Linked DNA regions of Caenorhabditis elegans. The protein of the gene in region 2 purifies or fractionates together with the protein of the main gene of each other region. This does not show direct contact. Each region holds a gene or a part of one and is shown on either strand. Other genes may lie near its edges.

Region 1 (5,033 bases), about 11 Mb from region 2:
TTTTTTCTACATAAAATGTTTTAATCGTGTTTTGATAATTTGATGTATGCTTATTTTGAGGAACTACTGAAAAAAAAAGTTTAGGAAAATATATGAGGAAAACTATTGGCAACTTATGGGGTTAACTGTGAAGCCATTTTCCATTTTGAGAAACAAACGTTTTCTGAGAAAGCATTGCTTTTTTACTGAAATTTCGAAATTTAGAGATTTGCATTTATAACGAATGGCCTAAATTGGTTGTGTTGAGAAAACGAAAAAAGAGCAGGTAGACTTTAAAACCACACCAATGTTGCATATCTGCTTCATGCCTAATTCCATTGTGTGGAATCAAGAAAGAATAGGACGAAAGCACTTTTATGTTTAATTAAAGATTTTTCAGACATAAAGGCCAAAAAAGAGAGAAAATTACGTTTTCTCGATGATTGCACTCAGAGTAAACATTGAACAACTAGAGAAAGCGTAAAAATTTAAGAGGGAATGCTTAAATTCTTCGAACCGAAAATTTTTGTTTAAGAAGACGAAGCTCATAGTGTGACTAACTTCTTCTGACTATGTTTTTGTTGCTTTTTTTGGTTGCAGTGTTCTCTACTGTGATAAACTCTTTCACTCTTCCAAATTACTTTTCTTGTAGAAAACTTTAACAAAACAAAAAATGTGAAAAACATCGTTTCTAAAATGAGATTTTTGTTATGCCTTACTTCGACGACAGGAACAATAAAAAACTTAAAAATAATTTGTCTTTTCTCAGAATTCTTAAAGTCAATCTTTTTGAACGGGTTATTTTTTAATTTTGTGCTAAAGAAAATAAAAACTGAATTTTGTTACAAAACAGCCGCCAAAAATATTTTAAAAATAAAGGCAGACCGAGAACGTGCATAATATTCAAAATGATATGTCAAGAACACCGTTTGTTTTTTATTTATATTTTTTCTTCAAACAACACCCAAACTTTCAGAAAAAGGGAACAGGAAAAAAAGAGTCCCGCGACAAAAACCGACTAAGTTGAAAAACATACAAATAACCGAGGCCCGAAAGAGAGGCTATTTTCCAGAGGCAATATACATCTGGCTTATGAAAGCGAGAAAGAAAAATGAGGTGCGTAAACTACTTTCAGACATAAACTCCTGACAGGGAGGGGTTCGGGAACAGACAGAAGACGAAACAAACAAGTAGAATTCTCATTTACTTAGCGACTGCTTATCTGCTAAATATGTCTATTATTTTTGTCGTCAGTCGGGTACCTCGTGGTGAGCTGGAACGCTGGGAAATACTAAAAACTGAAAACTGCGAAAATATGTGGAAAACACCGGTGCGAGCAGGATAATAAAAGGGAAGTTCACGATAATTTGAAAGAATGACACTTAAAAGGAACGTCTAACCGGTGCTGCCATTTTTTATAAGTAGTAAACAATCGTACTGATATTCAATTACTATTAATGAGTCGGTAAATTTGCTGTTTTCAACCAGATTCGAGAATCGTTGAGTTCAACGTAGTTAATTGTTAATTCACCTTAAGCCTTAAGCTTAAGAAAGTCTGTTGCTATTTTTTTTGTTTTGTAGGAACGACAAACGCGTAATGTTACAACATCTCCAATTTCTTCAATATATAGTTTCTAGTTATTAGTACTGATTTCTTAATTTTCGTTTATAAGATTTAAGAACTCAGTTATATCAAACAACTCAACTTGCTACAAGAAAAAAAACAAAGGAAAACCAGAATTGGAGGTGTTACAACTAGTAATCAGAATTTGTTATTGAATTTCATCATGAGAATTGGCGAAGCACGACGACATGTATACGACAAGAAATAGAGATCAGAAAAAAACAGGATCATTGAAAATTATGAGCCAGCCTGTGTTGAACTTGACTGTTAAAAATAATGAATTTTCATATTATGTAGAAGTCGAAAGGTGAGAAACTTTGCCGTATTCTATGTAGGCGCTTGGGTCTCGCCAAACAAGGGATTTTTAGCATTTTCAAAATGTAGCATGAACTCAGAAATCGCCACTTTTTGACTGTCTATAAAACATTTTCAAAAACTGAAACGTTTTATTATTATATTTGGTTGGTTTTTATTTACCAGTAGTATTTCACAATTCCACTGGCGCATTCAAACGTTTAAATGATAAAGAATATTACCGAAGTATATATAACCAGAAACTTGTGAGACAAATCGGTACCAAGGTTAACTCGAATTACATTTAAGCATTACTTGTCGGCTAACCGCATTTCCTCTATTTGTATTGCACTTCACTGTTTTATTTTGAAAAATTAAATTTAGGTTCATTGTGAGAATACCACTAAATGATTAACTACAGAACAATGAAAATAGAAACAACACAGCATTCGTCATTTGACTTTTTTTCAAAGATATAACAAAGGACAACTAAGATATGACCCAATAAAATACTGTATTTTACATCAGTTTTCAGAAATTTAAATAATTGAATAAGTTGTTAAAGCTTTAACAACAGCGTGTCACAATTTTAAACAATTTCGAACATTTTTTTAGAGTAAAGCAGCATTTTGAACCTTAAAGTTGTCACTTAACAAATGAAAGCACGAGTTTCTACATATGTATGACTAATTCAATCAAATAAGTGACAAAGATTGTAGTTTCTACCTTTTTCCTCTTTTCCATTTCCTTTCTCCACATCCTTTTCAGCTTGCTTTTCTTTTTTCACCGAGTCATCGTCGCTGTTGGCCGAGATGATTGATGTACTCTACAGCGGAAACAAATACGATAATCCGGAAACCAAAAAATTTAATAGACACACACCTCTTCAAGTTGCTGTAAAGTCCTGGTCGCCATATTCTCAACTTCGTCCGATGACGTTGATAAGAGATCATCGTCTTTGGAGCTGGATGATGGGAGCATGGCGCCCTCCTGTTGAATACTAGAGCTCCGTTCGTTGCTAACCAATCGAGTCTCGACCTTGACAGAGCCGTTTGAAGATAGTGAAACGACCGAATTGCGAGCTGATGACATTGTGGCGCTCATAGATTGAATGTGTGGGCATTCAGTCACAGACTACTGGGACACGATTCACGAATGACACATAAACACTCGGCGAATAGTGGGATGTACTCTCGAATGTATGGATTTCGTTGAGCAAGCCGGGCTCACACCCCAAAAAGAAGACGACTCTGCTCCAATTGGTATATGACGTCCCTGATTACAAATGCAAAGAAAACAGTTAGGGGTAACAGTGCAGCGAAGAACTTGCTACTAGCCTATTGTCTCTGGCGTGACTTGTCCATTGTAATGCAAGAGTTTCGAGAACATTTTCGTTTTGGGATCTTGAAGTTGCCAGAAACTTGAATAGTAGGACTTATATGCATATGTTAGGTCGGACTTTAGAATAGTAGTTTCTTGGGAAAAAGGTCAGGCGGGAAAAGGCGAATGGAAACAGTGAACGGGAAACCTGGGAAGCTGAAAATTTTCTTGAAAATCGAAACGCTTCGAAGCCGTAAATTAATTTCAAATGATATAGTTTTAAATAACTATTATTAGAAATACATTTAATCATGAGATACATAATGGTGGCTGAAATAACTCTTCTGTAACTCTTCTGAAACTCTCAACACTCTCTAAATTTGTAATTAAAAGTAGTCCACGTTTCTTATCAGATTCCTCACGTTAACGCAATTTGTTTATGAAAATTCCTAACTTTCAATGTTACCTCTTGGGGAAAACTATGATAATTTTAGGTTGTATGAAATTAAAGAAAATGGGTCAAAGGGACAGAGTGCTGTAAAAAACTCTTTAAAAAATGATTATGCAATTATCCAAATTCTTTATGATTTTTAAATTTGCAACAAAAAATGGTTTTAAAAAATTTGATACATTTTTGGATGATACGACCTACTTTTAAAAATGTGTTCTAAAATATAAATGTATGATTGGATTGAAGGCGGAAAATGGAAAATAAATTTTAAAGTTTAAAAAACCCAAAAATAAACATACAGCTTAATTTCCACAATTTCCAAAACTCAATTCAAAATAAAGATAGAAATAAAATGTATCGAAGAAATGTTTTGTTTTAATTTTAGAGTATAAGTTTGTTTTACTATGATATTTAGCCATAACATTTTAATAACCCCTATTTTCAAAACAAACAACTATTTACGAAACGTATTTTTTTGCATATGGTCCTTTTTTGACAACTGTTATCAAAATTGTCAGTATACCCTTTTTTGTTAGTTCGAATTTTCCATATTTCTTACTTTGTATTATATTTCTTATTCATGAATTCCTCGTGTAAAAAATTAAACTAGACACACAATTTACAACATCTAGTCCTTTACGATTCACTGCATTTTCATTAAATGCTCTTTTTCACTCCTCCTCCTCCTGACTATATCCTCCTCCTTCTGACTTCTTGTTGTATTGTTTATATGTTTCCCACGCCATCGTCAAGAATAACTTTCGAAAAAAGACACAAAGATGGATTATGTGAAACTTGAGATTTTTTCATTATATTTTTAAGTATCATAAAACCATTGGGAGTGTTTTGAGAAACAACTATGACGAATGCACAAAGCCATTTGAACTAGCCGTTTTCATCTTCAGATTGGTTGCGAATTCTCGTTTTTTTTTGTTTTGAACACACTCCAGTTGTTGCTAACTGAGAGTGCGGAAACGTGTCATTCCGGTGTGAAGCGTTTTTTTTGCAAATACACATAACGTATGGAAGATGTATTTCATGTGTGTATGTGTTATGAAAAAAGGATGCACACCAATTGAATCAACCTTGTCGTTGCGGGGGCTTATTGAAAAAGTTGAAAGTACTTGAAGTATCTGACAATTTTGCAAAATGGGAAACATAACGTTAACACTCTTTGGGTGGACGCTTTTAGGTGCTCTCAGGAATTTCGAGCTCTCGTCTCACTTTTCCTAGCCCTCATTAACTCATTCTTCCTTTTCTTCTCAACACACAGATTTCCGACTTTGCCTCGAAAGCGACTTCTATGGCCATCACGCAATCAAGAATAGCAGAAGCTTACTCTGCATTAAAAGTAAGAGTGTAAGT
Region 2 (5,934 bases):
AGATTTGCGCCGCATTGATTGGAACACTGGCTCGTTAAGCACTCCTTGATGCCAACAATGCTCTGTGTAAAATTCAACTTTTCTGTCTCAAAATTTATTTCTTCCATTCCTTGTATTAAGCTTGAAACCCCCGTTTCTTATATTGGTTCACTTTGTTGCAGCTTACAGTATCTTTGTATTTTTTTTCTTGACTCTGTTTGGTTTTGCCCCTCCCCCCTTCACCTCCGTAAATGCCACGTATTTTAATTGATGCTATTCTAGTGCCGCTTTCATTTTCAGCCAATTTTGACAAGTAACCATACAAATAATTATTTAAAGTTATGACTTGACTTGTCACCCCCTTTGTTTCTGTGAATAGATTTTCCTTCAGCGAGTGATTGTTTCTGTTTTTTATATGTTTCTCTTCAGTAGTTTTTTTTTCTGTCTTTTAAACTCCCCTTCTCCTACTTCTTTGTGTCTATTGTAAGTAAAATATTAATTGAATAATTTCCTACCCAAAATTATTCAATTATTCTCATGTAAATTTTTATTTTAAGACACAACATTGCAATGGTAACTTTAAAACAAGAAAAAACAAATTCAGAAAGATCCAGACGCAATTTTCTTTGCCTTCTCAGCCTTCTTCTTTTTGTACAGAGAGTAGTTATGTTCGGCACTCATGTAGGCAGTTTCCAAGAAAAGGAACACAAATTCGCAACAGGTAAGGAAGGATATTCCGCACCAAAGACCGAGTTGTCCACCAAAATCGGCTAGCAAGTTGACAAACTAGAAATAGTTGAGATAAATTTTTTGGAATAAAAATAAATTTTTTTTTGCCTGCTCGCTAGTAGTAATTCGGCATTTTTTCGAATTTTTTTGATACATTTCTTTGATACACGTTCTTTGCCTAAATTTTTCAACTCACCCCATAAGCCTCTGATTCAGTGAGCATTTCAAAATTCAACTGCTCGTAGAACACTTCCACCATTGCTCCGTTCTCTCTCAAATAGGCCCAATTTTAAAGTGTGTTTTTTCTTGAATTAACTTACTTATAATGCTTATTACACTCTACCGCTGTACCATTACACGATCCTAGTTGAATTTGCAAAGATAACGACGGCCACTTTGCCGGCGAGTATGTAACGGAGTAGATTGACTGGCGGCATGGTTGTTGGCATCTTAAAATTGAAATTGCAGTTTTTTATTTAAAAAGTATATAACAATTCAAAAGTTACCTGCAACGGAAAGATCCGTGTAGGCCTCCCAAGTCATTCATTCTGGCGTCAAGACATTTTCCTGCAGAAAAAAATATTTATGGAGATGTCAAATTTGAAACTAACTTGCAATAGGGTCTGCTGCATCGCAATGCCGTGCATTTTCAGGGACTGGGAAACGTGGATCTCCACATCTGCACTCTTTCAGCACGAGTTGTTGGAAGCAAGAACGGTAGCAGCCCTGGAATAGTTCCCTCTGTTATCATATTAAGTTCTATATTTAATTGCTATTTTAACAAGAATCACAAAGTTTCTATGACCCATTTTTCCTACTAAACTTGCTTAAATTCTGTTTACTATTCACCTCTACCGAATATTCATAATTGCTGTAAATATAGTCCGATGTTTTGCCATCTGGCACACAATCTCCATAAGGTGCTGGCAAACGTGACATCTTTCGCTGAAAACAACAACACCATTACTCTATAAAAAGAGTTTGAATTTCTAATACCAATCGTAATCCAAATGAGGATACATATCCAGTTGGAGCAGAATAACCGAACGTATCAGGAAATGGGAAATCTTCTTTGTCATGAATAGTCAAACGAACGCCTGTGGCTTCCGTGGTTGGCATATAGTCAGACGCGTTTACATAAACCAGCATACGTAATCCGTACATGGGACCTGGAATCGGAACACGTTTTTTGGTTTATACATAACGGACTTCAAAAATTATTTTAGAAAAAAATATGTGGAAAAAATTTTGAGGAAACTAACCTGCTCGAATACTAGTCAAGTTTACTGTTCGATTATGATTGAAGGTAAAGCACGAACCAAACGCAGGGTCAATATGAGTCAGAAAATCTCTGAATAATTGAATTTATATCATATCTGAAAGCCTAACTAACGCTTCGATATCACACGCTTTTCCGTTAAACGAGCACTTGTGGACAAGTTCCCTTTTTGTAGTACTTAGCCGTTCCCTATCTTGCATTGACAAGGTAGCCATTGCAAACATGATGTTTTCCTTGGCTTTAGTGACAATTGCAACTTCATCTGTCATTCCCTGAAACTTTTCAGTTTCCACTTGATTTATATATTTGTGATTGTTACCTGAAATCCCATAGCTTCAAGGAAGTTTGGATCTTCAGTTGGAGTTCCTCCTTGAAGATATGTCCAAATTTCAATTGGTGGCGTCTTTCCGTTGTATGCTACACAGAATCTAGATGGAGCACAAATACATGGGGATCTATGGCCCTTCGCTGAAAAATTCCGATTTAGAAAAAAACAACAATAAAAATTAAGAAGAGTAAAATCAAACAAGTGAAGCTAGTTTGGCAAAGTGATTGAAAAACCTACCAGTTTTGTTATCTTTGGTGCAGAAAGCATGTTCATTGCAAGTATCACATTCGGTGGTTTCCCAGGTTCCGTTCAGAAAACAGGGCCACGCATCATGAGTTGATCTATCGAAAGCGCAAATACACCGATCGTCAAATCCCGTCGGCTCGTCGAATTTTGTTCTGAACGAGAAAAAAGATTTGTGGAGAACATTTCGAAACGTCTCATTATGAACTTCTGTATTTTGGAACCATATGAATTTCAAATTTATGGAAGGCAAAATTGAGCCTTCTCAAAAATTGGACTTATCAAAATGGACAAACTTTACCGTACCTCAAAATTGTAAGACTAGACTTTTTCAAACACTTTTTTGTCAAAGTTGTTAGACTAGACTTTACCTCTCTGATTGACATTCTTCCATCATATTCATTCCAGTAGTTGCTTCCACATCGTAATTCTCATAATGCTCATTGTCATATTCTTCCATTCCATCCCATTCCTCATCGGCATCTGTGTTCAAAAGAATGTTTTACGCGATGCTCATTTGACATGCAACACTCACCATTAATATTAAATACCTTTTTGGTAGTTGTTTCAAGTAACTCTTCCTCCTTCTCCTCATCCTTATCCTCTTGCTCACTAGACCCTTGGCTTCCACAAAGGCATCTTGCAAATCCTGGCTCAAAAAATGCTCCAGATAAATCACGTTTTCCTCGACGACGTGCCGGTTTTGTGGTGGGTGCAGGGGTGGTGGGTGGTTCGGTGACAACTTCGCGTTCCTCTTCGTGATCTTTGTTTCCTCCGGCTTTTCCCATTGCTCCATCAAATGCTGACAACGTTCGCTTTACTAAATCCACGCTTGTTGCTAAACTTGCTTTGTAAGGATTCAAATTACAAAGCGTAATTGCTGGAAAAGGTGCAGTGTCTGGAAATAAAAAAGCTCAGTAAGGAGCACATGATTTTTCAAACTACCAAATTTCAATTGAATATCGACAATTTTCTCATTCCTGTTGTATTTGTCAAGCACAGATTGAGCATTAAGATAGAGCATTATCATACATCCAAGAAAAAGTACGACCCAAACTGCTCGATAATATACGTTTGGAGCTTCACCAATCATGGGAATTCCGTGAGCAGATGTTTTGTAGCAAAACTCTTTGAAATGCCAGGCTAGACGTTTGTCATAGGGTAGCAATTTTGGATCGAATTCTCCCGTAATAAGTTCACACTGAAATTCGGAAATGTTAGATTACTCAGCTGCGACTTTTTGCAAGTTTTATTTTTTTTACCGTTTATTGAACATTTTAAGCGTTTTGATTATATTGTTCCAAAACAAAAAATCTTGGTTTTTAATTTTGGTACAGTTTTGCAGATAAGCTATCAAAGTAAAATAAACAAGTTGATTCAGCAAAAACTTAGTAGTTATAAAGACAAAATACTTATCGAAGAATTAAGAAAATACGGGCCTTCAAATTTACAGTTGAAAAACTTCAATGTATATAACGAATATTTCAAAAACTGGGAACAAAATACAATTGCATACAAAAATAAAATTTACCGTTGCAATTTGAAAATTACGTAAACTCACTTGTACTTCTGATTCTGTAGAGTTGAAACATTCGCCATAACCAAAATCTTCATAATATTCTCTTTCTGTCACAAATTTAGTCGTCTCTTGTAAGTACGCTAACGGGTCTCCATAAACCTGGGACATGTACTCGGATGGGTCCCGAAGGTGTTGGTAGTTTTTCAGGTTTTGCATCCATGACATTCTATAACTTGATAGCGATAAAAAAAATAGCATTAGCAAACTGATACTCTAAGAAAAATGAAGGAGGGGTAGTCGCTGACGACAATGATCTTGCTCATGTCTTCACATGGTTCCATTACATTATAAATGTATAGAATAGTAGATTGTTTCATACTTGTAGAATGAGAAGAAAGCTGATGGTTTTGAGGCAAGATAAGATCCATGAAAGTGTGTTGAAATGTGCCTGGTGTTTGAGATGTTCTGGTGAGGGTGGAAATGTATTTGAACATTCTGGAATTTTTTTTACACTACATTCGGTGCAATTGTTCTACGATCACAAACCTTCAAACATGAATAACTATTTTTTGGAAGGGATCACTTTTATTCGACGAGACAGTAAAAAGTAATTTTTTCAATAAAAATAGTTGAGCACCAGTCAATGCATATACAAAACAAAATCGGTATTATTTAATAAAGCAAAGTGTGTCTCAATTGCTTATAAAGAATTGTAGACAGGGACAAATAAAAAAGTTCGAGGGGATAGTTCATGAAGTTGAAAAATAAGGTTATGACGTGAGAAGATTTAGCAAATGTCCGAGACGACAGTGACTAGCTTGCCATTGACAAAAGTTGTCTTGAACTGCTCCGGAACCGGGAACTCCGACTGAAAAGGAAATTTAGATTGGGTTCTACAATCCGAAAAACTTACATAATCCCCATCATCATTGGTTTGCACGGAGATGTTCATCTCACTGGATTTGGAAGTGACAATCTCGCATCCTTGAGCCACCTTTGACAAGTACACCTGGCATCCATCAGTCTTCTGGATTGAAAGAGTTGGGAGCTCTCCAAGGGTCTAAAAATTAATAACAATAATAGATTCAGTGAATTTCGAAGCATATAGTTGACTGAACTTTATTAGTAATTTGGAAGATTTTAACGATTAAAACCAAATATTTATTTTCACATTTTTTATTTAGAAACTAATTTTATGTTCAGACGGAAAAAAAATAGTATTGTATTTGAGCTTGTATTGAAGCTTGTACAACTAAAAGTCTTCTGATTACCTGAATTTGCACAGATTGGCAGTTGACAGTTTCGCACTGAGCCACAAGGGCATCAAACACAACAGACGTTTTCTTGCACCCGTCCAAAGTAATAGAATTGGCCTTTCCGTTGACCTTAATCACAGAATTCTCACAACGGTAGATATAGACAGTCTGCTTCTTATCGGCAACATCGAGAACAATGTTTGGATCGTTGACAAAGTACTCCTGTAAATAGTTTTTCATTGATAATGCTTATTGAATATGTTTTTCAAGTTGTTGAAACACTTACCACAATCCATTGTTTTCCGTTTTCCAGCTCCTTGTGTGGTGGCTTCCTTACTGGAGCAGCTGGTTTGGCAGGAGATGAGCCGCCCTGAGAAGCACCAGCGGCTGGCACAACAGCGGTTCCTCGGAGGTTTGGGTTCTTGTGAGTCTGCATATCGGCCGTGACCTTCTTCAGTCTAGAAGTAACTCCCTCTCCCTGGTTCAACGAAGCAAAGAGAGCATCACGGCTTGCCTTGTCAGCATCTACTGGTGGCGGAGCAATGTTGGCGAAGAAGTCGGCTGGTGGTGGTGGAGGTGGTGGGGGTGGTCCTCCTGGACC

The links.
Region 1: the proteins of mec-4 (region 2) and mec-2 purify together in Caenorhabditis elegans (affinity purification with western blotting; 4 studies listed by BioGRID). This does not show direct contact.

The regions. Positions count from the first base shown.
Region 1 is NC_003284.9:5,573,937-5,578,969, reverse strand, and holds the start of mec-2 (Band 7 domain-containing protein), read right to left. Parts: upstream 3,002-5,033; coding exon 2,780-3,001; intron 2,724-2,779; coding exon 2,624-2,723; intron 1,025-2,623; exon of another isoform or gene 970-1,024; intron 1-969. UniProt on the Caenorhabditis elegans protein: Subunit of an amiloride-sensitive cation channel (degenerin channel complex) permeable for sodium, potassium, lithium and N-methylglucamine, and required for mechanosensory transduction (touch sensitivity).
Region 2 is NC_003284.9:16,802,813-16,808,746, forward strand, and holds mec-4 (Degenerin mec-4), read right to left. Parts: upstream 4,304-5,934; 5' UTR 4,303-4,303; coding exon 4,120-4,302; intron 3,760-4,119; coding exon 3,504-3,759; intron 3,457-3,503; coding exon 3,094-3,456; intron 3,042-3,093; coding exon 2,930-3,041; intron 2,714-2,929; coding exon 2,553-2,713; intron 2,456-2,552; coding exon 2,307-2,455; intron 2,260-2,306; coding exon 2,102-2,259; intron 2,060-2,101; coding exon 1,971-2,059; intron 1,878-1,970; coding exon 1,705-1,877; intron 1,654-1,704; coding exon 1,558-1,653; intron 1,435-1,557; coding exon 1,320-1,434; intron 1,276-1,319; coding exon 1,215-1,275; intron 1,158-1,214; coding exon 1,029-1,157; intron 981-1,028; coding exon 905-980; intron 766-904; coding exon 580-765; 3' UTR 509-579; downstream 1-508. Other genes in the region: aak-2 (5'-AMP-activated protein kinase catalytic subunit alpha-2), read left to right, coding at 1-38; cas-1 (C-CAP/cofactor C-like domain-containing protein), read right to left, coding at 4,865-4,945, 4,991-5,137, 5,349-5,555, 5,620-5,934.